2 linked regions of the Mus musculus genome follow. The protein of the gene in region 1 interacts with the protein of each later gene in a pairwise test. Links are inferred from orthologs where the notes say so. Each region holds a gene or a part of one and is shown in the gene's direction. Other genes may lie near its edges. The genes, in order: Phyh and Pex7.

Region 1 (15,246 bases):
GATTTGATCTGACCATTTCTTGCTATTTCCTAATCCTTTTCGACTGGACATACACACAATTAAGAATAAAAAGATTTTAATTTTTCTTTTGAAGTTTTGTTTTTTTTTTAAGTAGTTCTTAGCCAGAATGCCAGAACTGACTGATGTTTAGGCTAAGCATGAGCATGGTTTTTGGCCGAGCACTCGCAATTTATAGGGATCCAACATCGGGTGCTCACACGGGAGCCTATAGGGGATATTTCACATTCAAGCCATACCCATGACTGCCATGTTGGTATTTCAGCTGTGGCAATTACTGCAGATGCTGAACTCTTCTGTAATTTTATGCAGCAGAAGTATTCCTTGTATCTTACAGTCTCTTGTCTAATTGGAACCAAGACCCAGATAGAAGTGTAAACTGAGGCTGGTGACATAGGTCCTGGAGTTTTGCAGACCTATCTGTCAGCCTGACTGCAGAGCTGTGCACAACATAGTCCATTCTCGATCAGCCCATATTTGGAAAGGCACACATCTGAGTTTATAGAGTGCAGCTTAAATGAACTGGTTTGCCAGGGACTGTGTGCTATAAGAGCTGATTCCTATAGGAACATCGACTAAAGACCCCCAAAGAGGGGGGACCCTCACTCAAGTCTCAGGATGACATGACCCCCCAAGAACTCAGGAGAGACCGTCCTTGCTGCAATCACACGAGGTTTATTGATAGGAACCAGCACGCTGGGGCCGACTCTGGGAAAGGGGGTATTAAAAAAAAAATAACCCAAGGGTGTAGGGAGGGTGTTATTGGAAAAATCAAAAATGCCAGTGAAAAATCACAAGGTGGAACTAAAAATCACAAGGGGAAATTCCCTGCTTCTCAAGATTTTAATCTAACTTTTGTGGTCAGCCAATTCCTGGAACAGGCTGCTTCAGGGCCCAACTATTTTTCTTTCTTGGCTCCAACTTGGTCTAGGGATCAAACTTAAATTTCCTGCCTTACACTATGAAGAATGCATCCATAGCTGAGATTTTTCAGACCTGCTTTCGATGATGGTTCTTAAATGCTTTAACCTCCCTTCTAGCCCACCACCCAGCAGAGGCAGTGGAAAAGAAGTGGACCTGTTTAGAAATTGGTCTCATTCTATTAGGCAGAATATCACAGTTCCTGTTAGATCAGTTGAGGAAGGTGTTCTTCACTTCTTGGAAGATCCGAGGTAGATAGCAGGACAGGTAGAGACCATGGGTAGGTAGTGTGGCACTTTGAATAAGTATGGCCCCCATAGACTTAGGTGTTTGAAATGATTGGGTAGTGTGACCTTGTTGGAGGAAGTGTGTCCTATAGGGGTAGGCTTTGAACTTTCCTATGTACAAGCAATACCCAATGTGGCACACGGTCCCCTCCTGCTGCCTGTGGATCAAGATGTAGATTTCTCAGTCCCTCCACACCAAGTCTGCCCACACCCTGCCATGCTTTCCTCCATGATGTGTGGGGCAATGGGCTATGCACAGACAGCCTGGTCTCCAGTCCAGCTAAGGTCTTGAACCCCGGGTCTTGAGGTGGGACCTGGTGGGTGGTAAATTCCACCTACATGGGACAGAAGGCATTCGATCATGTCTCCTGGACCCCTGGTTCCTGTCGAAGTTACCGCCCCCATAGCCCCCCCCCCCCTCTCAAGAGAGGCTTGTGGCTATCAGTCACGTAGACAATGTTCCAAGCTTCTGGCATTCTGGCTAGACTCCTTCCCACAGTTACCTAGCAACAGCAAGATAGCCAGCCCACTATAAGAGGGTCTGCTTGGCCCCTCCTTTCTCTCTCTAAGCTTTTACCTCTCTTACTCTGATTATTAGATAACCTCTCTCTCTCCCTCTCTCTCTCTCTCCATGTGACCATGGCCTGTCTCTCTCTCTTTTTACTTTCTCTCCTTTCTCCCTGCTTTTCTACAATAAAGCTCTAAAACCATGGACCGTCTCTGTTCATCAAGGCCCGCTGAGCTTGAACAATGGGGATAGGCTTTCTCCTAACAAGCTGAGTCTAACCTCCCGCCAGAAGGCCTTCCTACACTGCAGCCACAGACTGGACTAAGGACTCTTGCCTGTGTGGGAGCCACTCAGTGCCCCCCTCTAACTCTGCCCTCTCTTCCCTTATCTCTGGGCCAAGTGCTGCCCCCTGGGCCCCTATTCTGTTCTCTGCTCCTTCGCCAGATTCAGCGTGGGATGCCAGAGGCTGAGAACCTGGTACCTGGAGTTGCCCCTTGTCCACAACCCGCTGTGTGGGGTAAGTGGCTTGACACAGGTGCCCACCTTGGGCCACACGGAAAGCATGCACAGTCCTCCCGTGTCTGCCCACTCAGAGCACTGGAACTCTGGTGGGATGTGGGTTTTCTCCCATTCCCCTTTTTCCCCTACACCCACAGTCCCGCAATGATGATAATGGAATATGCCTCTGAGAATGTAAGCCAGCCCCAAGTAAATGATTTCCTTTATCAGGGATACATGGTAATGTCTCTTCACAGCAATAAAACCCTAACTAAGACAGATAGTATATCCCCAAGGGCTCACCTCCAGCTAGGCCCCACACCCTGTTTCCTAATATAGTGCCACCTCTGGGGGAGAAGCATAAGAAACATAAGCCTTGGGCTGGAGAGATGGCTCAGTGGGTAAGAGCACTGACTGCTCTTCCAGAGGGCCTGAGTTCAATTCCCAGCAACCACATGGTGGCTCACAACCATCTGTAATGGGATTTGATGCCCTCTTCTGATGTGTGTCTGAAGACAGCTACAGTGTACTCATATACATAAAACAGACCAACAAATAAATATTTAAAAAAAAACAAAAAGAAACAAACAAACAAAAAAAAACCCAAAAAGCCTGGGACTGGATAGGATGGTGTGTGCCTGTAATTTCAGGACGTGGGAGGGGGAAGCAGGAAAATCAGGAGTTCAAGGTCATCTTCAACTTTATAATGAATTCAAGACCTACCTGTGCTTCATGAAGATCTTGTCTCAAAAGTGGTGGAGGTAGAGAGATAGCTGAGTGGTTAAGAGCATTGGCTACTCTCATAGAAGACTCAGGTTCAATTCCCAGCACCTACAGAGAAAGAGAGAGCAAGAGGTTTCCTTCTGATGTGTTAGACATTTTTGTAGAGAGAATCTCTTAGAAGCATCACCTGTCAATAAAAAAGCCTATGGCCAATGAGCTGAGGCAGAATAATGGGAGGTGGGACACTGGCAGGAAGAGAGAGGTTCTGGGAAATAGAGACTAAAGGGAGATTCAAGAGAGATGCTAGGGAGGACCCTGAAGGAGGCCAGTAGGGAAAAAGCAGTCAGAACTGAAGGAGAGGTAATAGGTAACTAACAGGAAGGTAGATGAACTCAGGGTAAAATAAAGGGAGATTTGCCAGGGACCACTGAGGAGGCAGAAGCATGAGACCTGAGCAGAGGTAACAAGTCACCCAGATGAACTCAAGAAGCATGAGATCTGAGCAGAGGTAACAAGTCACCCAGATGAACTCAAGAAGCATGAGATCTGAGCAGAGGTAACAAGTCACCCAGATGAACTCAAGAAGCATGAGATCTGAGCAGAGGTAACAAGTCACCCAGATGAACTCAGGATGGAGTAACAGGAGAGATTTCCCCAGGAGCGCTGGGGAGACGAACATAAACCAGCGGGTAGCTGCCCTCACTTTAGGATGAAGAGGATGCCCCAGACTTGGACAGAAAGCTGAGGACAGGTGACTAAGCATGTGGCAGACAGAGAGCAGTTTGAATGGTTAAATAAGTTTTGAGCTAGTCAGGGAATGAGCCAACGATAGTGGCCTAGGCATTTCTTAATAAATAACTAGTCTCAGAGCTTCACTCCTGATCAGAGGCTGGGAGGGAAAATGGATTTATTCTTTATATAAATCTCAGTGGGGAAAGAATCTGGAAAGAGAGCTCAGGATGAGGGGTGAGAGGTGACAGAGTCCTGCCATAAATCCTGGGACTCAAACTCCAGAGAGCAGCGTCAGGGTGCAGATGTGAGTTTATTGTGCATAAGCTTACATACAGTGAGCCAGGCCCTTAAATCCTCAGCCAATTGTGTCTTGCCATACCATCACCATGCCCCAATGAAAGCCCTGCCTAATAAGGTCACTCAAAAGGGGGGGGGGGGGCGGGGAGTGTCATCACCTGTTAGGACTTCTGTGAAGAGGCGGGGCAGCCACCATCTGGCCCGTGTTCCATTTTGCTGTCTCACAGGTGTTCCGGGAGCCATCTTAGATCAAATCCCAAGTACAGCAGATCAGGGCTCTTCGATCCTGTGGCGCTTCTCTCTCCATTCCACTTTTTCCTTCACAAGGTTGACCTCCACATCCCCCACAAAGGAGGGTGGTGATGGTCTTCACCTTTGACCCCAGCACTTGGGAGGCAGAGGCAAGTGGAGCTCTGAGTTCAAGGCCAGCCTGATCTATAGAATGAGTTCCAGGGAACTCTGTTGCAAAGTGAAAAAAAAAAAAAAAAAAAAAAAGCAGAGAGAAAAACAGAGACACAGAGAGACACAGAGAGAGGTCTTTGGACACATAGTCTGGAGTTTAACATTCCAAGATAGGGTTACAAATCTGAGATCTTCTCCTGAAGGCTGAAGTTTAAAGTCTGAGGCTGGAGGAGGTGACTGAGAAAGCTGGTTTTCACAGAACGAAGATGTAAAAGGACTGACTACAGATCTCAGGAGAGGGAAGGTCAGTCAGAAAAGGAGGGAGAGGAAGCCACTGCGGGCCTACTCCACATGGCCGCACGCAGAGGATTGCATGGGATAGAATGCAGTGAGACAGAACCCCTAGATGAGCACATGGTGGCCGCTTGCGAAGAGCAGCTCGTTAGCAGGATGAGCTCAGAAATGACCTGGGCTTTAGAGAAAATCAGGAGAGAGAATCTAGGACTGCAGATATCATCTATCATTCTTTCAGGATTGGCTATGAAATCATTTCCTTTGCTTTATCTGCTTATTATTTTTATTTTTGTTTTATTGTGTGTGATAGCTTACTGTTAGTGTGCTTGCCTCTTATGGGGGATTCTGGGTTCTAAGCTCAGTTACCACAAGACAAACAAACAAACAAACAAAAATACAGGTTAGGAAACGTTACACACAGAGCCAGGAGGAAATTCTATCTTGAGTGCCACAATCTCTCATCCTGTGCTGGTCTTATGTCAGTTTAAGACAGATTAAAGTTAGCTGACAGGAGGGAATCTCAAGGAGAAAACGCCTCAAGAAGGTCCAGATGTTAGGCATTTTCTTAACTAGTGATTGATGGGGAAGGCCCAGGGCATGGTGGGTGGTGCTATCCCTGGGCTGGTGGCCTGGGTTGGTGGTCCTAGGTTCTAGAAGAAAGCAGAGGCTGAACAAGCTATGGAGAACGAGCCCAGTTAAGCAGCACCTGTCATGTTCTCTGCTTCAGCTCCCACCTCCAGGATCTTGCCCTGTTTGAGTTCCTGTCCTGACTTCCTTTAATGAGGAACAGATCAGTAAAAATGTAAGCCGAATGCACCCTTTCCTCTCCAACTTCCTTTTTTGGTCATGGTCATGGCGGCAATAGAAACCCTAAGACAGGCCCCAAAGCCATAATTCTCTCTGTTTTTTAGGGAAACCAGTCATCCTCAGAATGACGGTCTTAATCTTTCAATTCTGCTTGAGGTGACCCAAATTCAGACTAATTTCAGTTTTGTTTTCTTCCTTCTCCCTGCAGTTCCCATTTTGCACCAGGTGAGGGCAGTAAGAACACACCTATTTCCCAAGTGGGGGGTGGGGGGGGAATGCAGTCAGTCCTGCTTTTAAACTGTGGGCTAATTAAGCCGGTCTCTCAGGACATGGTCAGGCTTCCACCAGGTTGCTCAGGCTGGACAGATGAGGTTGGGAGATAAGCAAATGACCAAGCCGGCCCTGGGAGCTTCAGCTAAGCGAATCTCGTCCTAAAGGTCAAGGCACAAAGGGCAAATCTCTGCAACCTGAAAACAGGAAGTAGCCAGCTGGTTACTTGCTTGTCTCTCCTGGACTATGGCACTGTCACCAAATTATCTAATGAAAGCATTTAAGAAACAATAACATGTTTATGGAGTAACTAGAAGCAATCTAGAAGTAACTCTCTTAAGAGACCGAGAGACAAAGAGATTGAGATTATGTGTAGTGGTTGAATTTCAAAGACTTTAGGAAAACAGTTTTGTTTTGTTTTGGGTTTGGTTTGGTTTGGTTTGGTTTGCTTTTTCGAGACAGGGTTTCTCTGTGTAGCCCTGGTGGTCCAGGAACTCACTTTGTAGACCAGGCTGGCCTCGAACTCAGAAATCCCCCTGCCTCCGCCTCCCAAGTGCTGGGATTAAAGAAAACAGTTTTTAGCTACATAAGAAATTTTACATGTTATACTGGCTGGTGAGATACACAGTGGTTAAGGGAGCTTGCTGAACAAACCTGACCATCAGAGTTCGATCCCCAAAACTCAGGTGGTGGAAAGAGACTCAACTTCCCTGAAGATTATTTCTCTGATCTCCACAAACAAGGATGCAAACATACATACATACATACACACACACACACACACACACACACACACACACACCACACCCCATCACCACTACCACCACCACACACAAAAATGTAATGTAAGTTATCCTAGACCGTGTGGATCGCTCTTCTTAAAAACTAACAGCCAAACTTTCTAATATTTTAGGATGAATTCACGCTAAATTTAATGTCTCTTCTGAATAACACAGATGATTTTAATTTTTAGTGGGAGAACTAGTCACATAGATTAGTTGTTCATAGATTAAAACTACCAAGTTAAAAGGGTGGCTCAGATCCCTAACGGCCTCGGGCTGCTCGGCTTGCATCACCCCAGTCGCAAAATTTCGGACCTTGCAGATTAGAACAAAGACACAGCGGCGGGGAGCAAGGACTCCAGACAGCCTAGGCTCGCTCCCTCATCCCCAGCTCCCCAACCCCCAGCCTGGGGGAGGTGGCGCTGTGTCCTGCCCTTGGACAGAACTCCACCCTCTACTAGGAGGCGGGGCCTTGCCGTAAGTTAAGTGTGACCTGGGCGCAGCAGTTTCGTCTGCTGGCCCCCACCATGAATCTTACGCGCGCCGGCGCCCGGCTGCAGGTCCTTCTGGGACACCTCGGCCGACCCTCGGCCCCAACGATTGTATCCTTTGGGCTGTGGAAGGGCTCACAGGCTCGAAGGAGCCTCTCCGCCCTGGTGGTGGCTTCAAGGACATAAGAGAGCCTCTGCGCCGCCATCTCTTCCCTGTCTCCATCCCTAGGGTTCCCGGGTGGAGGCTGCATCCCCAGAGAGCCCTCGTCTTCTGGAAGGGCTCTCTGGTGGGACTTCTCTAGGCAGCATTTTGAGCCTTCAAGAAACCGTGGTTTCTTGCTGGTGTAAAGCGGGAAGCATAAAGCGAAAGGTGACGACGTCATCACAAAGAGGCTTGCCATTTTTTGAGTTGACTTCTGCATCCAGAAACACCAAGGACAGTTGCCCACAGGTGCTTGCCTGTGACCAAGGCCGGCAGAGGCAGGGATTCTCAGAGGTCAGGAGGAGGCGCCAGTCGCCAAAAAGAGAAGGCTCAGGACCCTGTCCAGCAGGTAGCTAGCTGCCCATCTCCACCTGCCCTCTGTCTGTCACCATCCCACTAGCTGTGTAAGCTCCCACTCCAGGGGCCAGGTGTCCCCAGTCTCCTGAGGACTGAACTGGTTCCCGGAAAGCGACTTCAGAAGCGAGTGCCTGGTGATAAATGCTTGTGATCCCCCTGGGAGGTGCAGGTGCAGACTCGAGGGTTGGTTGGTTGGTTGGTTGGTTGGTTGGTTGGTTGGTTGGTTGGTTGGTTTTTCGAGACAGGGTTTCTCTGTATAGCCCTGGCTGTCCTGGAACTCACTTTGTAGACCAGGCTGGCCTCGAACTCAGAAATCCGCCTGCCTCTGCCTCCCAAGTGCTGGGATTAAAGGTTCGTGCCACCACCGTCCGTCCGGCAGACTTGAGGATCTTAATGGCCAGCCATCCTGGCCAAAAGTGACAGACGGTCTAAAAAGCAAAACAAAACACTAAACCAAGGCTTGGAAGCAGTTATGCACACGAACACGTGTGTGTACACACACATCACACACAAACACATACATGCATACACTCAGACTCTTGGGGGATGGGAGGAAGCATCAAACTGTTGGCCCCTCGCCCTAGAAATTGCTAAAAATGAATGGTTTAGGGTTTTCAGTGCCTGCCACCTCCGAGGCTGATCATAATAGTTGTTTATTTGGCCTTCCCTGTTATTCTGCCTGTGGGGCTTTTGGTTTATAAGCAGCGGTGTGCCAGGCTTACCTCAAGCTTAAACTCTACAGGCTAATAATGTAACTTCATTTTACACTGAGAAACTAATGGGGAAAGACCCTGATTAGTGTGTATTGGACTAAAGCAGTGGTTAGACCTGCAGGCCATGTAGGGATGGAATATCACAGTCTGGTTTTTTCTTGGCAGTTGGATGTTTGCTACATTTTGAGAACCTTGGATATACTGGTACTAGATGTATTTGGACTGAAATTGATGCAGTCTCTTCACTACTCTTTGGATCTTATTGGTTGCTTGATTTTTGAGACAGAATCTTATCACGCATCTCTGGCGAGCTGGAATTTGCTATTATAGACTGGATTGGCTTAGAACTCACAGAGACCACCACCTCTGCCTCTTAAGTGCTGGGATTAAAGTATACACTTTTTTTGTTTTGTTTTGTTTTTCGAGACAGGGTTTCTCTGTGTAGCCCTGGCTGTCCTGGAACTCACTCTGTAGACCAGGCTGGCCTCGAACTGAGAAATTCACCTGCCTCTGCCTCCGGAGTGCTGGGATTAAAGGCGTGCGCCACCACGCCCGGCAAAGTATACACTTTTAACTTGAATCATTTTTCAATTTAAATGGCCAGATGTAGCTAGCAGCTAGTATTGGATATTAGATAGTGCTGACCAAGAGCCATAGGGAATATATTATGTAAGTAGAGTTCTAGAAATTGAGGCCGTATCTCCTCAGCCTTAATTTGCTTCTAAGCAGTGTGGATGCTGGGCAGTGGTGGCACACGCCTTTAATCCCAGAATCTGGGAGGCAGAGGCAGGCGGATTGGATTTCTGAGTTCAAGGCCAGCCTGGTCTGCAAAGTAAGTGAGTTCTAGGACGACCAGGGCTACACAGAGAAACCCTGTCCAAAAAAAAAAAAAAGCAGTGTGGATTAGGGAACAAGGAATGTTTTGTATTTGCATAATTGGGGTCATCCTGGGTCACAGCTTCTGCGTCTCTTTTCACTTTACCCCACCCACACCCCCATCTCTGTCATATATTTCAATATCATTTAACATTTCTCCCACATCATCAAAGTCCAAGAAACAGTGGAGAAGGGCCGAGGTGACCAGTTTGGAGCACTGAGGTCTATATGTCCTTGCGGCAATGCTATATTGGGAAAGTTGAACAAGAGTGGGAATTGTGAGGCTGGAGATGTGGCTCAGCAGTTAAGAGCAATGACTGCTCTTCACACTGGCTACTCTTTCAGAGGTGTCCTGGGTTCAAATCCCAACAACCACATGGCAGCTCACAACTGTCATCCAGCAACAAATGACCTGACACTCTCACACAGACATACATGCAGGCAAAACACCAATATGCATTAAATACGTAAATAAAAAAGTAAATAAATAATAGATAGTTGGCAATCACCTTTAATCTCAGCAGAGGCAGACAGTCTCTGTGAGTTCAAGATCAGCCTGGTCTACATATCAAGTTCCCAGTCAGCCAGGGCTACGTAGTGGGATTCTGACAAAAAAAAACAAAAAACAAAAAAAAAAAAAACCAAAAAAACAAAGGACAAAACAAAACAACAAAAAACAGAAGAGAAAGAAAGCAAGAAAAACAATAAACCGCATATGGTGGTGCCTGTCTATAATTTCACCTGGCAGGAAGTAAGTGGGGGGCAGGAGGATCAGTTCAAGATCATACGTGGCTACATTATTAAGCTCAAGGCTAGCTCATGTAGCATGTTCTCTGTCTCTAAAAGTCATAAAGCCTTAATTAATTAATTAATCAATTAATCAATTAATTAATTAAAAGCAATCCAGGCCTGACAATGCACACCTGTAACCCCAGCACTTGGAAGATGAAGGCAGAAGAAACTGAGATCAGATGGGCTATAAAACACCCAGGCCCTACCTTAGGTGCACAGTGAGATCCTGTTTCAATAAATGAGTGAACACGAGTAGATGGCAAGTTCATGTGAAGTGACATTGTGGGTCTCTTGGTGGGTTTGAGACCCACAGGCTTTCACTGTGTGGCCCTGACTGGCCTGAAACCCACTCTGTAGACCAAGCTGATGAAACTCAACCCCCCCCCCCTTTGCCTCCCAAGTGCTGGGTTCCACCCACACCTGTGTGGAACTGACACTCCAAAAGCAGCAACACACGGTCTACAGAGTGAGGTCCAGGACAGCCAGGGCTACACAGAGAAACCCTGTCTCGGAAAAACCAAAAAAAGAAAAAAGATAACAGAAAAGGGCTGTTCCTAACCCGTAGTTACTGAGTGACGGTTCAGTGTTTACTTCACTGGTGTGGCTTGGACTTTTTGTGCCCTAATGACGTCCAAGCTCCTTCCAGTTTAGCCTGCAGTCACACGAGGCCCAAGCTGTGCTCTCCCTTCTAAAGCGTGACCTTTGGTATCTTATTTGCTCAGTAGCTTAGCACAAGGAAACCCTGGGACTGGGGCTGACTGGAGCTACAGGTATAATCTGGGGGATTTGTGGCTGGTGTTTGGCAAAAAGGTTGTCTCCTGCCTTCTTCTTTCTTTTCCTTAATTCTCCCCTAGGTAGCCCAGCCTGTATCAGGGTTGGCTTCCCCTGCCAGTTTCCAGCCTGAACAATTCCAGTAAGTAGATCTCATTTTTGCCTGTTACTTCACTGTGTATGTGTTCTGACTAGTGTGTTACAGCAGCCTGACACAAGAGTTAATCATCTAAGAATCTGGATTGAGAAATGCCTCTATAAAATTGGGCTGTCGGCAATCTGGTGGATTTCTTAATTAGTGATTAATGGAGGAGGGTCCAGCAGCCCATTGTGGGTGGGGCCATCTCTGGGCTGGTAGTCTTGAGTTCTATAAGAGAGCAGGCTGAGAAAGCCATGGGGAGCAAGCCAGTAAGCAGCACCTCTCTATAGCCTCTGCATCAGCTCCTGCCTCCAGGTTCCTACCCTGTTTGAGTTTCTGCCCTGAGCTCCTTCAATAATGAACAGTGATGTGGAAGTGTAAGCCAAATAAACCCTTTCCTCCCCAAGTCACTTTTGGTCATGGTGTTTCAGCTCAGCAATATTGACCTTAACTGAGACAGCTTGTAAAAGTTTTTCTAGTAGTAGCTGGGATAGAATGTCCACTGTACAACCAGGTAACATAACATGCAGCAAGCTACCCAACTAGAATCCATGTAGAACACACTTTGCTTCCAGAAAATGGTCTACCAGTACTGCTTTGGGGAACTATGGAGAACCTAAGTTTTCTTAACATAGCTAAGATCCAAAAAGAAGTTAAAAAAAAAGAGAAAGAGAGAGAAAGAAAATACATAATTTTACCCTTGAAAAATCCAAGCATCACATGTCACGTTACTTTACTTCTATATTGGTGTTATTGACATATTGGCTAGCATTTTGAAAGAGAGAGAGACACACAGAGACAAGAGAGTCAGAGAGATGAAGAGACACAGAAAGAAAGACACAGAGACAGAGACAGACAGACAGATACACACACACACACACACAAAACACAATGGAGAGAGATTGTGTGTAAGAAGCAAGGTCTCACCAGGTCTTGAGCTTAGGACTCTCCAGCCTCCTGAGCAGCTGAGACAACTGTAGTCCAGCACCTGACATGAGTATTGCCTTGTTTTTAAGGGGAGCACCCAACCTTCATGAATATCGTAGACAAAGCCACAGCACCAACCTTAAGGAGTGGGTGGGTTGCTTCTGAGAGTGTACTGACTAGACTACTTAAAATGTATGATTTGGGTGTGGTGTGTTCCTGGAATCCCAGACTTTGCTAAGGCAGGAGGTTCCAAGTTCAAGACTGCTACAAAGTGAGACCCTAACTTAAGAAATATTTATCTTATACATATCACATATACTTCATTGAATTGATCTTCCATTTGAAAGACAATGCTTATTTGTAGCCATCCAGTGGCTTAAGGTCGAGCAGGGTCACCTGAAAGGAGCGCTGGGAATGAAAAGGCTGTGGGCCATAGAAGAATGGAACCAAGACAGTGTTCTGGTCAAGGCTCAAAGTTTATTTCTGCAGCTCCAGCCTATAGGCACTTCAGCCATCAAAGCCTCTTGAGAAAATCCCTTTACAAACTTAACAAAGATAGGAGCTCCTCTTGGCTACACACCCTGCTCCCATGACTTTGGCTACACACTCTGCTCTCATGACTTTGGCTACACACACTACTGTCATGGCAGTTCTCTGGCTCTTCACACTGTAGAAAATTTAAAATTCAGAATTTTAAATCATTACTGAAAGGCAACCATTGTTTTAAAACAAAACTGCTTTGCAACTGCTCAGCTACAGACATTGACATGCCCTCTCTCCTTCCTCTCCCTCTGTATTTTGTTTTATATGATTTTTATCCTATTATAATAAGTATGCCCACAGTATTCTGCCCTTCATTTTTAACATCTATTGTACAGATATAATTCCTTGGTTAATATTTTTTTCAGTAATACACATTTTTGGTGACTGTACCTATGTTTTGGACTTAACACTCTAAACTTTGTCCTCACTACTTCATTAAAGCAATACACATAGAAATGTTGAGTTGAAAAGTACAAATGCAGGCAGGCTGTGGGAGTACATATCTCTGGTCCCTTTACTCAAGAAGCAGAAGCAGGCAGATCTCTGAGTTCAAGGCTAGCCTTGCCTACCTGGCAAGTTCCAGGCCAGTTAGATTTGGATAGTAAGACAGATTCTTGGTATGAAAGACCTCCGTGGGGATAACCCCACCCGAGTCAAGAGATAGCGTGCACCCAAAGAATCAAGAGAGACCATCTTGACGTAAACACACAAGGTAGTTTAATGACGGAGCTCCGGGCTACACGTATCTCACGCAGGAGACAGAGGTGTTGACCCTAAGGCTCAAAAGTTAGGGGTTTATATAGGAAAGGAGTGGGGGGATAGGGGAAATTGGCACAGTTACACACAAGTGGGCAGTTTAAACATCAGTGAGCAGTATGTGACAGTAACTCTAAATGGAGGGTGTTTATCTTGGTTGGCAGGGCATCTGGCTAAGCTCAAACCATATCAGCAGGTAGCCCATTACTCATCTGAGATTGTCCTTGCCTTTTTTTTTTTTTTTTTTTTTTTTTTATCTCAGTGGCTAGTTGGTTCCTGGGATGACTTTACAGCCTTTGTGTCCACCCGCCCGACTCTCTTATCTTTATGGCTTTAAGTCTGTAAACCTTCTGACTAGGGCCTTGAATAAACCTTCTGGCTAGGGCTTTGAAGCCTTGAATTTAGTTTTCTTTCTTTCAGGTATACTGCTAGCTTGTAATTTAAAATGGGGACTTACTTGGAGGCTCTTTTTTTTTTTTTTTCTTTAGGTATACTCTGGATAATAATGTCCTCACCCTGGAGCAGAGAAAATTTTATGAAGAAAATGGGTTTCTCGTCATTAAGAATCTGGTATCTGATGATGACATTCAACGTTTTCGGTATAATACTTCTGTTTATGATTTTACAAAAAGCTACATTATATTGCGTCTCAGCCTTTTGGCTAAGATCAAGTGCAAAAAGCTGCATTACATGAATGCAATGGTAACACAGGTTTAGACTAGCTTCTGCGTGTTCACAGTTTATGTGTGTGGGTTCCAACTCATGCATGTGGAGGTCCTAGGACAACCGCACTGTCTGTCTGTCCCCTTTGTTCTCCCTGCTTGGGACAAGGTCTCTTTTTTGTTTGCTGTTGTTATTCACTGGCCTGAGAGCTTCCTGTAGCCCTTCTGCCTCTATGTATATCTTACAGAAGTAATGAAGGGAATATAGCTCCACACTCTCACATCTGCCTTTCTGTACTCCTGCCTTGAGTGAGCCAGCAGGTGCTTGACTCACTAAGCTGCCTCCCTAGATGAGTTCAGAGATTCTTTTTTAAGGATGATTTGTTTGGGAGTGTTTAGAAATGGAAACTCAAGTGCCAGACTCTCTGGCTTGGGTCTTAGTCCTACCCGTAATGTGCTTGGGCAATCTGCGTATGCCTCAGTTTCCCTGTTCTTAAAATGGGGCATTTTGAGTCTACTGGTGTCTTCGTGTTGTGGGAACAAAATAAGGGAAGTCAGTGTCAGGCTCTCAGACCAGGGTTGACACCCCAGAGGTACTACAGAAAAGTTTGCTTTTCCAATTTTTTTGCATTAGGGATGTTCAACCTTCAACATCAAATAAATCTCACTGCCAAATCTAAAGCCCCCCTGAGTGACAACATGGAACAATAGCTGGAAAACCCCTCACGCAACCTCTCGTGAAGGGGTGAAGTCAAAATAGGCAAAAATGATGCATAAGATGCCTTTAGGCCTGTGTACAGGTTGTAACGGAAACACAAGTGAATTCTGTGTTGCCCTGGGTCCCATCATGAGGTTATCTCGTTATGCATATATTACAAGTATTTAGTTTTTAAAAACTGAAATCCAAGACAGGTGTGGTGGCACATACCTTTGAGTCCAGCACTCAAGGAGCAGAGGCAAGCAGATCTCTGTGAGTTTGAAGCCAACCTGGTCTACAGAGTGAGTTCCAGTATCCCCAGGGCTTTAAAATGAGACCCTGTCTTAAAAAAAAAAATCTGAAATCCAAAACAGTTCTGTCCCCAAGCACTTTGGATAAAGGATGCTCAGCCTCTATTATTACAGTGTCACTTCTCAGGCCAGAGACGGGGGCTCACTGTGCAAGCTTAAGGACCTGAGTTCGAATCTCTGGCATCCATGTAAAAGCCATGAATGGCAGTATATACCTGTAGCCCAGCCCTGGGGAGAGGAGCACTCAGTGGCCAGCCAGTCTAGACTGCACACACACACACACACACACACACACACACATACACATACACACACATACACACACACACATACACACACACGCACACGCACACACACACACCGTTTCCCCACTGGTCTGCTGTGGAGGAGGTACTTTGAGGTAATAGTTCCAGGTAGAAGGCAGGACTTCTGGCCACGTTTTCCTCCTCCCCACAAGCATTTACTCTACT
Region 2 (15,271 bases), on another chromosome or scaffold:
TAAGGGAAGACGTTGCAGGGGGGAACGGGGAGTAGTTACATTGCATCTAAACTAAAAATCATGAAGTTGGCCTGGGCTACACAACCTCAGAGTCTGACCCCAGTGATCCACTAAGTCCAGCAAGCCACCTTAAGCTTCTACAACCTTCCAAAACAGAACCACCGATTCTGCTTCCTAAACTGGCTAGTCCTGAAATCCCTTTTAGCATTGAAACTACAAAACTTGGATGGCCTGGGTAGAAGCCTCCCAAAGTGCTGGTCAATTTCCTCAGGCTGCTGAAGGTGGCAGTGTGGGGCTGTCTCTGAATCCTGCTGGCTGACAGGGAGAAGTTATCAGCAAGAGGGATCTCCACATGCTGAATCAGCTCCTTTACAGTAGGCATGCCCTAGCCAACCATGTCTACTTACAAAAGGGATGTTTGCAAGGTAGTCTGGGAACTGTAGTTTTAAACCAGTTTAGGGTGTTCTTATTAGAAAGGAATAGGAGAGTGGACACTGCACAGACAGCAATCTTTTCACTGTAATCTTAATTTCAACATTATTTGTAAGCATGTGTATGTCTTTACCTCTAAACAGGCAGTCTGAAGACAGAAGATACTAGGACAGCATACTTTGGAAGGACGGACTTAAGGCAACATATACAACAGCTATTGTATATATACAACAGTTATTGTATGTATACAGCAGTTATTGTATATATAAAGTACTTTTTCGTGGTGCTGTGTCTTTTGAAAAACTACATGCATAAACCCTAAGTTTAAATATTAGACCCCCTACTAATATTTTTGTTCAATTGTTTTCAAGACAGAGTCTCACTGTGTAGCTCTGGTTGTCATGGAACTCACTCTGTAGACCAAGCTGGCCTTGAACTCACAGAGATCCCCCTGCCTCTGCCTCCTGAGTGCTGGAATTAAAAGCATCATGCCACCACACTGGCTTACTCATTTTCCATTGAGCCCTTCTAGAGAGCTGTTTAGAGCATGCGACTCCGCTCATCCAGTGAACTCTCCTCTCTCAGCTTTTCCTTCTCCTTGGAAATCTCACTCTTAAATGAGAGAAGAAGGATTTCTTGGGAAGGACTTGTTTTTGGCTCCAGCACGACAGTACCCCTGAGTTTGGTGACATCAGAGTGCCATTAACTTCTATCATCTACTTTTTGGCAGAACGGTGAGCAAAAGCAATGGGGATAAGGCTGAGAGCACAGAGCGTCTAAACCAAAGCCAAGTCTCAGATTTCTAATGTATGTAATAAAGGATGCAGTATATTCAAGCACTCTCAGCAGTTAACCAGTTAATAAACTCCTTTACGTTTTCTGAATTTTTAGTCATCCGACTTATCAATTTTTGTCCTAGAAATAATTGCATTAAGAACGAGTTCCAAATCACATGTGCTGCCTACAAAAGGGAAATTCCTTTAGCAGTGAATTAGTCAGTTCAGCTAAGATAACAAAACATCCCAGACTGGGTAGCTTAAGAAACAGACATTTTGTGCTATGGTGGGATTCAGTTCAGAGCGCTGCAGCTCAACCCCCATGAGAGAAGCTTCTATTAGATGCTTCTATAGATGCTATTTAACATAGAGACCCACAACTGGACAACGTGGAGACACGCAGGAGAGACCTGGAGCACTCAGTCCTAAGTTTCATGGCTTTATCAAACCCTTACCCTCCGGGCTCAGGGGGCCGTGCTGAAGAAGAGGTAGGGATGAGTCAGGGGAAACTTTGTCATCTAGACACAACTGGACTGGATGCACTTATGAGCTCAGAGACTCTGTCACTGCACACACCTGCGTGACTTGCACAGGTTCAAACCAGACAAACTCTCAGCACAGAGAAGGGGAAGTGGACCCAAAGTCCCACCCCAGGAAACTATTTGCAACTGACACCTGCTGGGAAAGAGAAAGTTAGTTTCCTCCAGTGGAGTGTTACTGGGTGTATCAAACACTCTCCAGGGGAGGCTCCAGGACCCGGAGTAGTTACCCTACACAAAACAGAATTCATGTTTTTTGTTTGTTTGCTTTGTTTTTCCAGACAGGGTTTCTCTGTGTAGCTTTAGATGTCCTGGAACTCACTCTATAGACCAGGCTGATCTTGAACTCAGAAATCCTCCTGCCTCTGCCTTCCAAGTGCTGGCATTAAAGGCGTGGGCCATCACTGCCCTGCCAGAATCCACATTTTTAAAGCACTTTTTTGTTTGTCTGTGGTTTTTGTCTTGTTGTTCTTTTAGTTTATTTTGATTATCCTTTTGAATGAGAATGGCCATGAAATTGGGTGGGGTGGAGAGGCAAGGAAGATCTAGGAGGAGTTCGGGGAGGGGAAAGAATATGCTCAAAATGTATCCAAAATTAACAAAAATAAAATTTAATTAAAAAAAAAACCCAGGCATTTCCTCCTCCCCCCCCCCCCCCATTTCTGGTAGATTTCCATCACAGTGCCTGCAAGCTTGGTTTCTGGTGAAAGGACTCCTCTGGCTTTTCTGTGGCTGCCTTTGCAGTGTATACAAGCCTTTCCATAGAAGGAGAAGAACTGACAACTCTGTCTCTTCTAATAGGGACACCAGTGCTACTGTATGTGGACTATACTCTCATGGTATTGCCTAGCTTTAATTAGTGCCATGTAGGCTCATCTCTAAATACAGTCACATGGAGAAGTTAGAGCTTTAGTACACGGGTTTGATATAGGGGACAGGGGCAGAATCTAGTTTATCACAAGTTAAGACAATGTGGCAGAATGTTCTGTGCCCAGCATAATCCTGGGTTCTTTACATCTTTGTTTTAGGAACTAATCATTAAATCCGTGCACGATAAGGACGCTGAAGGGGAACACTGACCACATTGTCCTGATGACTAGTGATGGATCCTGCTTTTAAACCTGAATCTGCTTAACTACAAAGCCCGTTCATAGCAATATTATTTTGGGTAAAAATATGCCCATATCACTTCAAGTAAATTTGGAGCCTTCTGGGTTGCTAAGAATGTATATGATAAAAATATGGGTTGATATGGAATAATACCCAAGATTATTATAGTTGTTTGTAGTATACAATTAAAAAGTAATAAAAGAATACAAGGACTAGTAAGTAAGTCTTGTTCAATTTTGACGTCCAATGTTTCCATTCTTCCTAGAGAAACTGCGGCATATTTCCCTCTTTTCTTCACTGAATCATTTTATGATTTTATTTACCAGGAGGCCACACACACATACTCACTCACTCACTCACTCACTCACTTTTTTTCCCCTTAGAAAGCAACTTTTTAAAAGTTTGAAACAAAGTCTCAGGTAGCCCAGTCTGGCCTCCAACCCCCTATGTAGTGGAGAAGATAGTCACCTAGCTGGGCTACAGTCAGGAGGAGGTGCTCTGTCTGCTTAGCCAGACTCTCCAAGGGTTTTATCTAGTACTCAAACTGATGTTAAGTCAGATACAGATATTGATAGTAAAGGGTTATTGAACAAAAGCTAGCCAAAGATGACGTTGGCGCTTGATGTGGGATAGTCCATTGCTCTGCAAATCCTAATGTTTTAGACAGCCAGCGGCGGCCTGCTGGCTCTGCAAAATAGATGTGAGTCTTCAGAGAACTTCCTGCCACACATTGTATTGTCTGGAGAAAGAGGCAAGAAGAAAAATGTCACTACATGGTTGATAACATAATTGGTTCCTCAAATATTTTCCATAGATTGGTTAAATCTTCAATTTCAGAATACATGGATATATAAAAGGTTTTTTTTTTTTTTGAAAATTAGAACCCAAATTTAAAGGATCTGGCATGAAAAGACTTCTCATTATTTACTGTCCAGATATTTATTTACCATGTATGTGCATTTTTTTCTTAAAAATTTATATAAAAATATATATCCTTGATATTTGGATGAATATCTAAAAAATACTATTTTTAAAAAGAAAATGAATTTAGGTCAAGATAGTTTTAACTTTGGGGGACATTGCTTTATAGCTCTCAGGGAGCACACTTTTCAACCATTTGCTTTGTTAACTAAGATTCCCTGACAGGTCCTCCACTGACAGGAAATGTTACCCTGCCATGACGGAAACACAGGCTAAAGCTTGGCTACCCTCTGCTGGACTTAGTTTGAATAGAAATATCTTCCAAGTATGGTGGATTTTCCTTATAAGAAGCCTTAAAGTTATAATAAAAAGATTTTTTAAAAAAGATTAGACCCACTATGCTCATTTAATAGAACACAACCCCAAATGTCCAAGTGCCTTTTTTCAAAACACAGAGTCTTCTGCTACTCAGCCATGCTTTCTCCACTATAAAGCTGTCTTAATATTGGTCATCTTACAAACATTTTTATTCATCAAATTTGCTACAAAGAGGAGACGATCTATGGCTTGAAAAAAAGGAAAAATAAGAAAAGCAATTTTAATTCTCATAGACTTATGATGAATTCTTTTTAAAAAATCAGAAATTCGATTTTATAGTTGGTTGGAATTTCTGGAAGCGTTCAGATTCATGGAGAAGCTTAAGAGGACAGAGTTTCCTTGTGAGACAGGAAGGTAAGACCATTCCTGGGTTGGGGTCAGCTTCAAAGCAAACCAGCAACAGTGAAGCCGGTCAGACGAAATCTGGGGGCAAATTGTCTTAGGGAGATGGAGAAAGGAAATTAATTTCATTTTTAAGGTTCTTGAATGTTTTTTCTCTGAAAGCTAACAGAGAGGAATACCAGTCTCGAGAGAAGTTGGCATACAGTATATGTCTGCATGACTCTAACTTTTCAGTTAACTTAACATTGCCAACAGAGTTACTTTTTAATGCATCATACTTTCTTTAAAAAAAAAATTGTTCTCGGCTGAGCAATGTCCATGCATGCTTTTAATCCCAGCACTCTGGAGGCAGAGGCAGGTGGTTCTCTGTGAGTTTGAGGCCAACCTGATCTACAGAGAGCATTCCAGGACAGCCAGGGATATGCAGAGAGAATAAAACAAAACAAAATTGTTCTGTTTTTGAAAAGTAGGGGCCAGTTGCTCTTTTACTCATGAGCTCAAATTGCTCTTTATCTAATCAGAATAGTAGTTTAATTTGGAATTGAACTTTCGAGTGTCTGCAAACATGAGCAACAGAGGTCTTCATGTTGACACCGATTCAGGATTTTGTAAGCCATCTTGTGTCACCCTTGATAACAGCACACAGGTAGTGTAATTGAAATGATACCACATGCACTGGACCTCAGGTTTACCTGAGTGTAAAGCTCCTGGAACAAACAGGCATGCAGATACCTCCCATGCTTGTAAACTTCCAAGGTAACTCAAGTATTACATGTAGCATACTCATTGCCTAATACAAATGAAATATCACTGGAATTCAAATTTCAACTTAAAGCAGTAAAGCTGGCAATAACTAAAAATGAGCCATGTGAGGAATTCAGGTCTGGTGGTATCTTCTGGTTCCAGAAGGAAGATATCATATCATTCCCAGGCCTTCCATTGCCCAAGTGATACCCTGCATGTACTATCTTAGCAAACTCAGTCTGAGACTTGGGTTGTAGCTCTTGGTAGTGTGTTTGCCTAGTGTGTGTGAGGGCATGCTCCCTCTGCCTTCCCGACACAGAATCCTGGATTGCTTTGGGGCATACCATCCCTTTAACAGGTCCAGTGTCTGCTTCCATTTTCTAAGTTCCTGACAAAGCTGAACACTTTACTCTAAATGTGCTTTTATTCTTTGTACTGTAGTTAGCGTATGAGAATCACTCAGAGTAGCGTGTGTGTGTGTGTGTGTGTGTGTGTGTGTGTGTGTGTGCTTTATGTGCATTTGTGTGCAGGTAGCCATCTTGGTGTACACACTGAGGCCAGAGAAGACTATCAGATGTCCCTTCTCTATCACTCTCCACCTTATTCCCCTGCTACCCAGAGCTAGACTGGTGACCAGTTAAATACCAGTGATCCTCCTGTCTTCCACCCTTGTAAAGTTTCACAGGGCTATAGCTAGTTGAATGGTAGAATATTTGCATAGGTTATCTGCTGTTATTGGAATAATTTCCATATTTTGTCCAGTCTGCATTTAGTACTGCTATGGACAGAGATACCAGGCCCCTAAACAGATACTTACATAGCCATAAGAACTCTGTTGTGTCATTGCCTGATGCAAATCTAATTTCTAAGCATTTAAATCTACATCTGAAAATAGTGTGCAAATCTTCCAAGCTTGAAAAATACTTCTTGTTTGTTTGTTGTTTTGTTTTTGGAGACAGGGTTTCTCTCTGTAGCCCTGGTTGTCCCCAGGACAGCCACTCTGTAGACTAGGCTGGCTTCAAACTCAGAGATCTACCTGCCTCTGTCTCCGAAATTCTGGGTTTAAAGGCATTCATTTACCATGCCTGGCTTGAGCAGTATTTTTTTAAGAGACATTTATTTTATGTGATGTGAACATATGTGAGTACACTGTCCCTGTGTTCAGACACACCAGAAGAGTGCATCAGTCCTCATTACAGATGGTTGTGAGCCACCATGTGGTTGCTGGGAATTGAACTCAGGGCCTCTGGAAGAACAGTCATTGCTCTTACCCACTGAGCCATCTCTCCAGCCCCAAGTAATAAATGAGTCTACAGTCCCCATCTTGTGGATCTCTCTCCCTTCCATAGCTTCTCCACTGCCAGCTTTCCATGTGGCTGTTTGCCCCAAATCTGCCTTTATCTGTCTTCTCTCATTCCATTCTCTTGCTAAATAAAAATAATTTCCGTGGTTTAAATATTATCTACATGCAAGTAAGAAGGCTTGGCTGGACTCCATTGTGCTGTATTCAAGTACTGCACACAGTACACAGTCAACATGCAGAACTGGAGTTTATTAATGCTCCATTGTCCTTATTTCAATAAACAATTCCTGTGTCTAGATAAGTACTATACTAAGAGTTGGAAACCATTTAAGCTTTTTGTCTTCATTTGACCCTTAAGCGTACCCTCTCCACACCTTTCCATAATTCTCAACAAAACACTATTACCCAACTATAGCATCTTCTGCTTGAGTTGTTGCTAAAGTCTCTAACTGTACTCCATTGCCAATCTCTAGCCTCCAGTTACTGTTGCTTGGGAATGATAACTCACTAAATGATCCATATCTGAAAACTTGCACAGATCTCTATTATTTAAGCTGCAGCACAGTTCCTTGGGCATGGGGTACAATACAAGAGTTCATGTTGGAGCATTTGATTTTCTCTCACCAGGTGGAATCTACCCAAAGTGCTCTTTCTCTATCAGGCTAGACTGAGTCCTGGCAGCTACCATCCCTTGCGGTTTTAGGTTTCCTGGGTTCTTCACCCTTCTCCTGATCCCACAATGGCTTCCAACTTTTTAGTTAGAGAAAGTCATTTGTATGAATTCACCCTAGATTATCTCCTTTCTAAAATGTTCCCTGACACCCTACCCTAAAAACATCTGTGTATATTCATCACAGCATCAATAGCATTTTGATTACACTTGACAGCTTTCAAGTCTTGTAATCTCTTGAGCTCAACCACGTATCCCAGTGGGTCTTTTGAATGCAAAAGTCTAGCACCAAGCTTGGTACATGACTTGGTCTGTGCAGGTTGACTGGTTTAATGATTAACAAGTCTCTTTCACTCTTCAGTGTTTGGTTTGGCAAACTGCACATTCATCTACCACATTGCATATGCTTGGCAAACATTTGAATGAAGAAATTAATGAGCCCAAGTCTTCCTTAATTACTGGAATATATCTGCATAGTGCAACTAACTACATAAAACCTATAGACCGCAAATTGCACATGATAATAGTCCTATCCTTTAACTTCATTGTTGTCTGGATTCAAATTACCTTGGGCAACCTAGTACTCCATTCGTTGCCCTTGGACTCACTAACTGCTTTCCGAGTTTGTTGTGGCTTTTATTTCGTAACCATCAGGAAAATGTCAGAATAGCAAAGTTTTAAAGTTCAAGCAATTAATAAAAACACAAGGTTTTTATTTAAAAAAAAAACATGGAGGTTGCAATTAAACGTGAACAACTGTCTGAAGTGACTCCTAGCGAGTATCTTCTCTTTTAGGTCTAGAATAATCTCTGAAAGACCAGTTGATTTTAGTTAGAGCAAATCATTGGATTTTTGCCCAAAAGAAAAATGGTCCTCGCGGCGTCAGTTCCCTTTTCTATGTAGCCCAATCAAAATCTAGGATTCCGGGCGTCGGCGTCGTCACTTCCGCCCGGCCTTCCTGGACTTTCAGTGAGCCGCAGTGGGGCACTTCTACCTCGAGACTGTTTCCGCGCTCGGGCCGGGAGGCCGAGTGACGGCGGGCGAGCGGAATGAGCGCGGCGCGGACGCTGCGGGTGCCCGGCCGCCACGGCTATGCGGCCGAGTTCTCTCCGTACCTGCCGGGCCGCCTGGCCTGTGCCGCGGCGCAGCACTACGGCATCGCGGGTGAGCGCGGGCCGCGCCTCCGGGGCGGGCGTAGGACGCGCCGCTGAGCGCGCGGTGCCGCCGCCACCGCCAGGGGGCGACAGAGCTCGGCCCTCCCTCCTAGGTCCCCCTTTCTGCGGAGTTGGCATTGGAGCCCAGGGGAAGTCTACAGCTAGTCCTTTCCCTTCTGTAAGAAGGATGCACTTGTCAGTACTTGCAAGGTGGAGTCAACAGAGCCACCAGTTCAAAGCCATCCTCAACAGAGACTTAGGGAGACGCTGGCCCTTTCTTGAAAAAGAAAAAAAAAAAAACTAGAAAATTCTGTGCTCGCTTTTAGTTGTTCTAGGGGAAGTGGATAAATGTGCAGAGATGTCTAAGTGCTCAAGCCATTTATTTTAACTTATACCCCATCTGCTGTTTATGCACAGGAGCAGTGTATGGCAAACCATTGCATAATGTCAGTGATCTGTAATACTTGTTTACTGCAGGAAAAAAATACGATTTCTGAAAAGTAGTGGTAAATAAACTTGTTTCCGTATAGTTTGTCCATTAGTGCTTAGTGCTTTCACGGTTGGGTTCACAGTTCTTGGCCATCAAACTTTAGACTTTTATAAAGGTTTCTTACAAGAAATTGGTATAATTAGGAATTGTTTTCTAGAGATTTTTTGTGTGTGTGTCTGAGTTTTTTGCTTGTATGTATGTCTGTGAACCATGCCTGGTGCCAGCTAAGGTCAGAAGAGAAGATTCAAAGAGGGTGTTGGATCCATTACTGATGGTTGTCAGCTGCCAAGTGGGTACTGGGATTAGAAGCTGGCTCTGCACATGGAAGGGGTCGGGTCTCTGACCTGACAGTTGACTTTTTTTTTTCTTCTTCATCAGTTACGTTTAAGTGGAAGATCTTTAACACTTTACCCACCTCACTGATCACAAAAACTCAAAGCGAAATTCTGTGAAGACTCTAGTTTGAACAGTTGAATGTGCATGTGAGCATAGTAATTAGTCATCTTACCTTGTAAAGTTCAAGTGCAGATTCCCTTTGAACAGATGTTAATGGAGTGTGAGATGGGGGAGAGAAAGAGACATTAGTCTTTCAGCAAAAATTATTGATTGTTGGCACATAACTGAAGTTAATGTTGTTTTCAACACCTGACCAACGAGTATATGGTATTTCCACATATACTGTCTTAAAATGCTGTGATTGGTGTGTTCTGCGTGTATCAGCAGGGGAGAACCACAGTCTTGGGGGTTTGTAAGCACAAGCCTTCCTTGTCTTCTGTTATTAGCTCCAGCTTGAAAGGTTTGCGTGCCTAGCACCAGGCCCGGTGTGAGTTGGCACTCTGATGCGTTTCCCCAGACTGGTGTTCCGATTCCAGTCTGGCCAGATGGTAAGTTGGATATTTAAGGACTGAAGCATACTATGTAACTTTTAATTGTTCTGTATATACGGTTGCAGTTATTTTATGGGAAATTTGTGGTAGTTAAAGCTGGTCCACAATGTTTAAGATTTCATCATAGATGACTCCCAGGAGGTTAAACAACATGACTTAGGGCTTTGTTTTGTTTTGTATTTCTTCTAGGCTGTGGAACTCTATTAGTATTGGATCAAAATGAATCTGGACTTCAGATTTTTAGAAGGTAAAGTGATTGACATTTCTGGTGCTGTGATAAGGCATCAAGATTAAGGCAACTTACAAAAGAAAGTAGTTACTTTAGGCTTATAATCTTAGTGGGTCAGGGTCAGAGTCTATAATGGTGGAGCAAAGTCATGGCTACAGGAACAGCTGAGAGCTCACATCTTGAGCCACAGATGGGAGGCAGAGAGATCCACTCTGGGAATGGGGCAAGTCTTTTGAAGTCCCAGAGCCTGGCCCCAGTGGCACACTTCTTCCAGCAATACCACATCTCCTAAATCCTTCCCAAATACTTGTATCACCTAGGGACTGAGTATTCAAACCTAAGAGCCTGTGGTGGCCATTCTCCTCAAACCATTATAATGGCTCTAATTATTAAGTGTACATATACAGTCAACCTCTGTCAAAGTCTTAATGCAGTTGCATTTTGAATATTTGGAACTAATAGGTTTTTAATTTATGATGTAAAATAAACTTTTACATTGGCATCATATAGAAATTATTTTTGCTAACTATGATTATGCCATGTTCTCAAGCTTACTAGTGTCTGCTTATAAATTATACATTTAAAACGTAAAACAGTGAGCGTCTTAGTAATTTAGTTTCCTTAAGCAAGAGCTAGCGCTCATCCTGTGGACTGCCCAGTGTTTCTCTCTGGACCTGTCTTCCAGGTTGAGTGATGGACACACGCTACTTCTATCAGGATTAGTCAAAGGCAGAGGAAAGAGATTCTGTAGAAAGCCACTACCTGCTCGTAGCTCAGATGAAGAAAGATTTGTGGGAGTATTTGAAATGATTGGTCTCCGTATTTTGAAAGTCTCACAAGTGCATGCTGTGAGTCACAGGTGCACTACAATAAAAGCAGGTGATGTCAGCATGTCTTTGGTGGATACCTCATATGAGTGTTTGGAAACCTCCTTTCAGTTTAACTTTGGAGCTATCTACCTGCCCTTCCTGGGCTGTGCTTCCAGGCCACTGTGGAGTACCTGCTCTATTTATCTCTTGTAGTTTTCAAGATCATCTGAGGTAATGTGTGTTACAATATGTGAAAAACAAGGAAAAAAACAGTAACTATAAAATTAAGATGTTAATCATTTTGTGATCTGCAGTGCATGTATTTTCTTTTCTGGCGTAGCTTTGACTGGAATGACGGCTTGTTTGACGTTACCTGGAGTGAAAACAATGAGCATGTCCTTGTCACCTGTAGTGGTGATGGCTCACTGCAGCTCTGGGACACTGCCAAAGCCACAGGCCCTCTCCAAGTCTATAAAGAGCACACGCAGGAGGTATGATGATGGCTTCCCTTATTGTTTGTTTGAAATCTCTTTGGGATGAACACAGGGAAATGCTTTCAGGGGACAAGGTTAAGCTTTAATGTTTCTTATTCATAGTAGATGTCACTTATTATTCTGTTATTCAAACATAAAGTACTTCTTAGCCTAAGACAAGACAAGAAAAGGTCAGGCTTCTCATTAGGCAACAGCAGTGCCTCTAGCAGGCACGGTGGCATCCTTCCCTCCAGAGGGCCTCAGCCTTCCTTATGCCCTATGAACACGCCTACACGCAGTGCCTCAGGAGAGGGTGGGCGGGCTGTTCGCAGGCTCTCTCACGATTGTCTGCAGGCTTCAGTAAGACTCAATGTATTCCAACAGCGGCATCAAGTACCAACTAGGAGGCTGAGTTCACTAAAAGAAAATAAAGATTTAGTGTTTGTAAATTTGTATGTGTGACTGTGTGTGCGCACACGTGCACAAGAGTGAGTTCAGACACTCATGCAAGCTGGAATTACTGGGTTTCCCCAGAGAACTAGTTACAGGCGTTTGCGAGCTGCCTGGTGTGGGTGTTGGGAACTGCTCAGGTGTTCTGCAAGAGCAGTATGCATGCCTAACTGCTGAGCCATCACTCCAGCCCCCTAAAGCAAATTTAAACGTAAATCTAAATATGACTTTTGTGTCATCTGGACTCTGTGTGTGTGTGTGTGTGTGTGTGTGTGTGTGTGTAATATGAGGCGCAGGAACTAGTTTATACTTTGGAAATACCAAAATGCATGCATATGTTTTAAGGAATGTGATGAAGACATTCTTTCTTGGTTTTATACCTTAGCAATAGAGCCTTCAGTGACGACTTACAGATTGCTTTCTAGCTTTTACCTACCTTTATGCCTGCCTCATCTCAGGCCTTTAACAAGTGTTCATTACATGGAAGGTCATTATTGTTTTGTTTAAAAAAAAACTGAGTGATGTGAGTATCCTAGATAACATTGTATAGTTATAACTATTTTAAAAAACTCAATAGTTCTATAATTAGTTCTAAAAATAAAATTACTTTATTGTGTTGGGATGGCTCCTTGAATAATATGGTTGTAAATTACCATGGTTTTGGAAAAATCACTGGGCAATGGAAGTGGGGTGCTGCTTTAATGGTTTCCTTTAAGTTACCTTCAGTTGCTACATCACCTCTAAAAGTAACAGTCTGAGCCATTAGACTCACAGCTATATACATTTATTTGTAATAAGCACAAGGCATGGGATTCACAGCTGCATGCATTTGTTTGTTTAGTCACGAGCCATCAGATTCACAGCTGTATACATTTATTTGTTTGTAATAGTCAAGATTCCTAGATATGTATTTGTTTTTAACATATGTTAAGTAGATATGTAATTAATGCATATATCATTTTCATATACCTAGTGGTCTCTTTATATTCTCTAGGAAATTCTGTTTGCAATGTCCCTGATGGCTGACCTTTATGAATTTTTCTATTTCTGGAATTAGTTATTTGACTTTTAGATTGTACTAATCATGGTCAGAAAAATGGCTTCTCTCGTGCTCAAATCTGCTTTCTTTAGCAACAAATTCTTGTTTCATACATTATTCTCTGAAGCTTTGAATATGTGCTGTGCTGAAGACAAACTTTGTCATGTGTGTACTATTCTAGATTGTTTTCTTCTCAAACATAAAATTTTAATGCTGGTTTATTTGGATTATATTTGTGTGGGGGCATCTGTGTGTGTTGTACGTGTGCACCTATGTGCTTGCACCTGTGTATGGGGCAGCATGTATGTTGTGTGTTTGTGTGCTCAGAGGCTATAGGGGATGCAGGTTTCCTTTTCTATCAGGCTCCTCCTTATTTCTTTGAGACGAGTTGTCTCACCAAACTCAGAGCTAACCTAGCAGCCAGGAAGCTCTTCTGGCCTCTCGTCTCTGTTCTGGACAGTGCCGTACTATAGATGCACAGTAACACTTGGCCTTTTCATGAGGCTCCTGGGGATTAGCTTGGACTCTTATTCTCATGCTGCTGCAGAAAGCAGTCTTACTCACTGAGCCATCTGTCTAGATTCCTCAAAGGCAACTCTTGATAAACATCTGCATCAGGATGCTTTGGCTTTAGTTAAAAGTGACTTTGACAGGTTTTTCTGTTTGATTGCTATTGTGGTTGTTGTTATTTTACTGGTAAGCTTGTTCATGTGAACTAACTGCCTTTCAGATGTTTGTCTCAGTGCACCCTCGTGTGTTGATGCTGACTTCCGTCTTATTGTGGGCTGCTATTCAGAGGCAGAGTTTCTGTGATTAGTCCCAGGGTATGTGGTAATCCAAGAAAGCCCATTGGCTGCCTACAAAGCAGTATAGGCTGAGTAGCTCGTAGATAACAGAAGTCTGTCCCAGTTCTAGAAGCTGAGTCCAAGGTCAGAGTGCCACAGGATCAGGAGTACACGGCTGTCTCTCGAGATTGGGAAATAGGAATTGTCACTCTGTTCATTTCAGAGAAAGTGGGGCTTTGTCGTTGAGATGGCGTCTAACAAACATGGGCTCCTGGCTCCCTCCTGTTGTAGCTATTGGGGACTTCTTTGGGTACATATGTAGTGGGGAAAAATGTAGACTTCTGCCTCTGACATTCTCAGTTGAGCCCTGAAGACCAAATAATCCCGAGCTCTACGTCCACCTGAAGGCAATGTATCCTTCTTCAGCATCCTCAACTCTGATTGGGAGGGACGCAGCTCCTACTCCCACCAGACAGGGTGTTTCCTAAACAAACCGCTCAGCATCCAGGTAGTCCTAGTGCAGGAGTCTCAGCTTCAGCACCCATTACCTTTCAGAGCAAGAAGTTTGGTCCAAGCCCTGAAGCAATGTCCCGAGGTGAACAAGGCGTGCTTCGGATGCAGCACCAAAGATTGTGGGTTTGTCAACCTGTTCATTCCTTCTCAAGGCTCTTCATCATAACTGAAAACTGCATTCCAGCTTTACAGTTATAAGTGAAAAATATATATTTAGACACATTTCTGAATCTTAAAATAAATCATTTAAAATACTACTTTAATATAAAATGTTTGGTTCCCTTAAAGGAACTGAGAAGACATTGAAAAAAAATCACATTTAATTTTTGTTTTGTTTCAGTTTTTGGTAATTATATTGAGTATTTTTACATTGATATTCATAAGGGAAATTGGTCTAAAGTTCTCTTTCATTGTTGGGTTTTTGTGTGGCTTTGGTATCAGCTTAACTGTGGCTTCATAGAACGAATTGCATAGTGTTCCTTCTGTTTCTATTTTGTGGAATAGTTTGAGTAGAGTTGGTATTAGGTCTTCTTTGAAGATCTGATAGAATTCTGCACTAAACCCATCTGGTCCTGGGCTTTGTTTGGTTGGGAGACTTTTAATGACTGCTTCTATTTCTTTAGGGGTTATGGGGCTGTTTAGAGGGTTTATCTCATCCTGATTTAACTTTGGTATTTGGTGTCTGTCTAGAAAATTGTCCATTTCATCCAGATTTTCCAGTTTTGTTGAGCATAGGCTTTTGTAGTGGTATCTGATGATTTTTTTGAATTTCCTCAGAACATAAAGGAGAAATCCAGGATTTAGATCAGTTTTAGGCTCTGGGATTGACGGTCTTGGTGGAATCAAAGAAAAAAGAAACCAACTTAATTAACATCAAGGGGTGGTGGGTGAGGTGACTTGATGGGTACAGGTGCTTGCGGCCAAACTTAACATCAAAGCAGGAGTCAGATTCTTCTCTGTGTTGTCTAATTGGTGTCTGCAGAGGCCACTGCATCTTTTAAGCCCCAGTCAGGAAGAATAAGACAGACTGCAAAGTCATCAAGGACAACAACAACTACACAACAGAAAACAAACAACAAGGCCCCCCCGGGGAGGTGGACTGAGAACTCAGATGATGTTTCTGCTTCAGGACTTGGCGCGGCGCTGTGTGACTGGGACAAAGCAGAGAGGCTGTGAGGCGGGTACAGAGTCAGCGCTGTTTACTCCAGTGTCTCATTTCCACTTAGC

What was found.
Region 2: the proteins of Phyh (region 1) and Pex7 interact in a two-hybrid assay, tested with the Homo sapiens proteins (2 studies listed by BioGRID, with this or other methods). The link is inferred for Mus musculus from reciprocal best matches to the Homo sapiens genes PHYH and PEX7.

The regions. Positions count from the first base shown.
Region 1 is NC_000068.7:4,912,004-4,927,249, forward strand, and holds the start of Phyh (phytanoyl-CoA dioxygenase, peroxisomal precursor), read left to right. Parts: upstream 1-6,992; 5' UTR 6,993-7,066; coding exon 7,067-7,141; intron 7,142-10,824; coding exon 10,825-10,883; intron 10,884-13,594; coding exon 13,595-13,705; intron 13,706-15,246. UniProt on the Homo sapiens protein: Catalyzes the 2-hydroxylation of not only racemic phytanoyl-CoA and the isomers of 3-methylhexadecanoyl-CoA, but also a variety of other mono-branched 3-methylacyl-CoA esters (with a chain length of at least seven carbon atoms) and straight-chain acyl-CoA esters (with a chain length longer than four carbon atoms).
Region 2 is NC_000076.6:19,900,567-19,915,837, reverse strand, and holds the start of Pex7 (peroxisomal biogenesis factor 7), read left to right. Parts: upstream 1-8,163; 5' UTR 8,164-8,264; coding exon 8,265-8,379; intron 8,380-9,935; coding exon 9,936-9,993; intron 9,994-11,124; coding exon 11,125-11,275; intron 11,276-15,271. UniProt on the Homo sapiens protein: Receptor required for the peroxisomal import of proteins containing a C-terminal PTS2-type peroxisomal targeting signal. Specifically binds to cargo proteins containing a PTS2 peroxisomal targeting signal in the cytosol.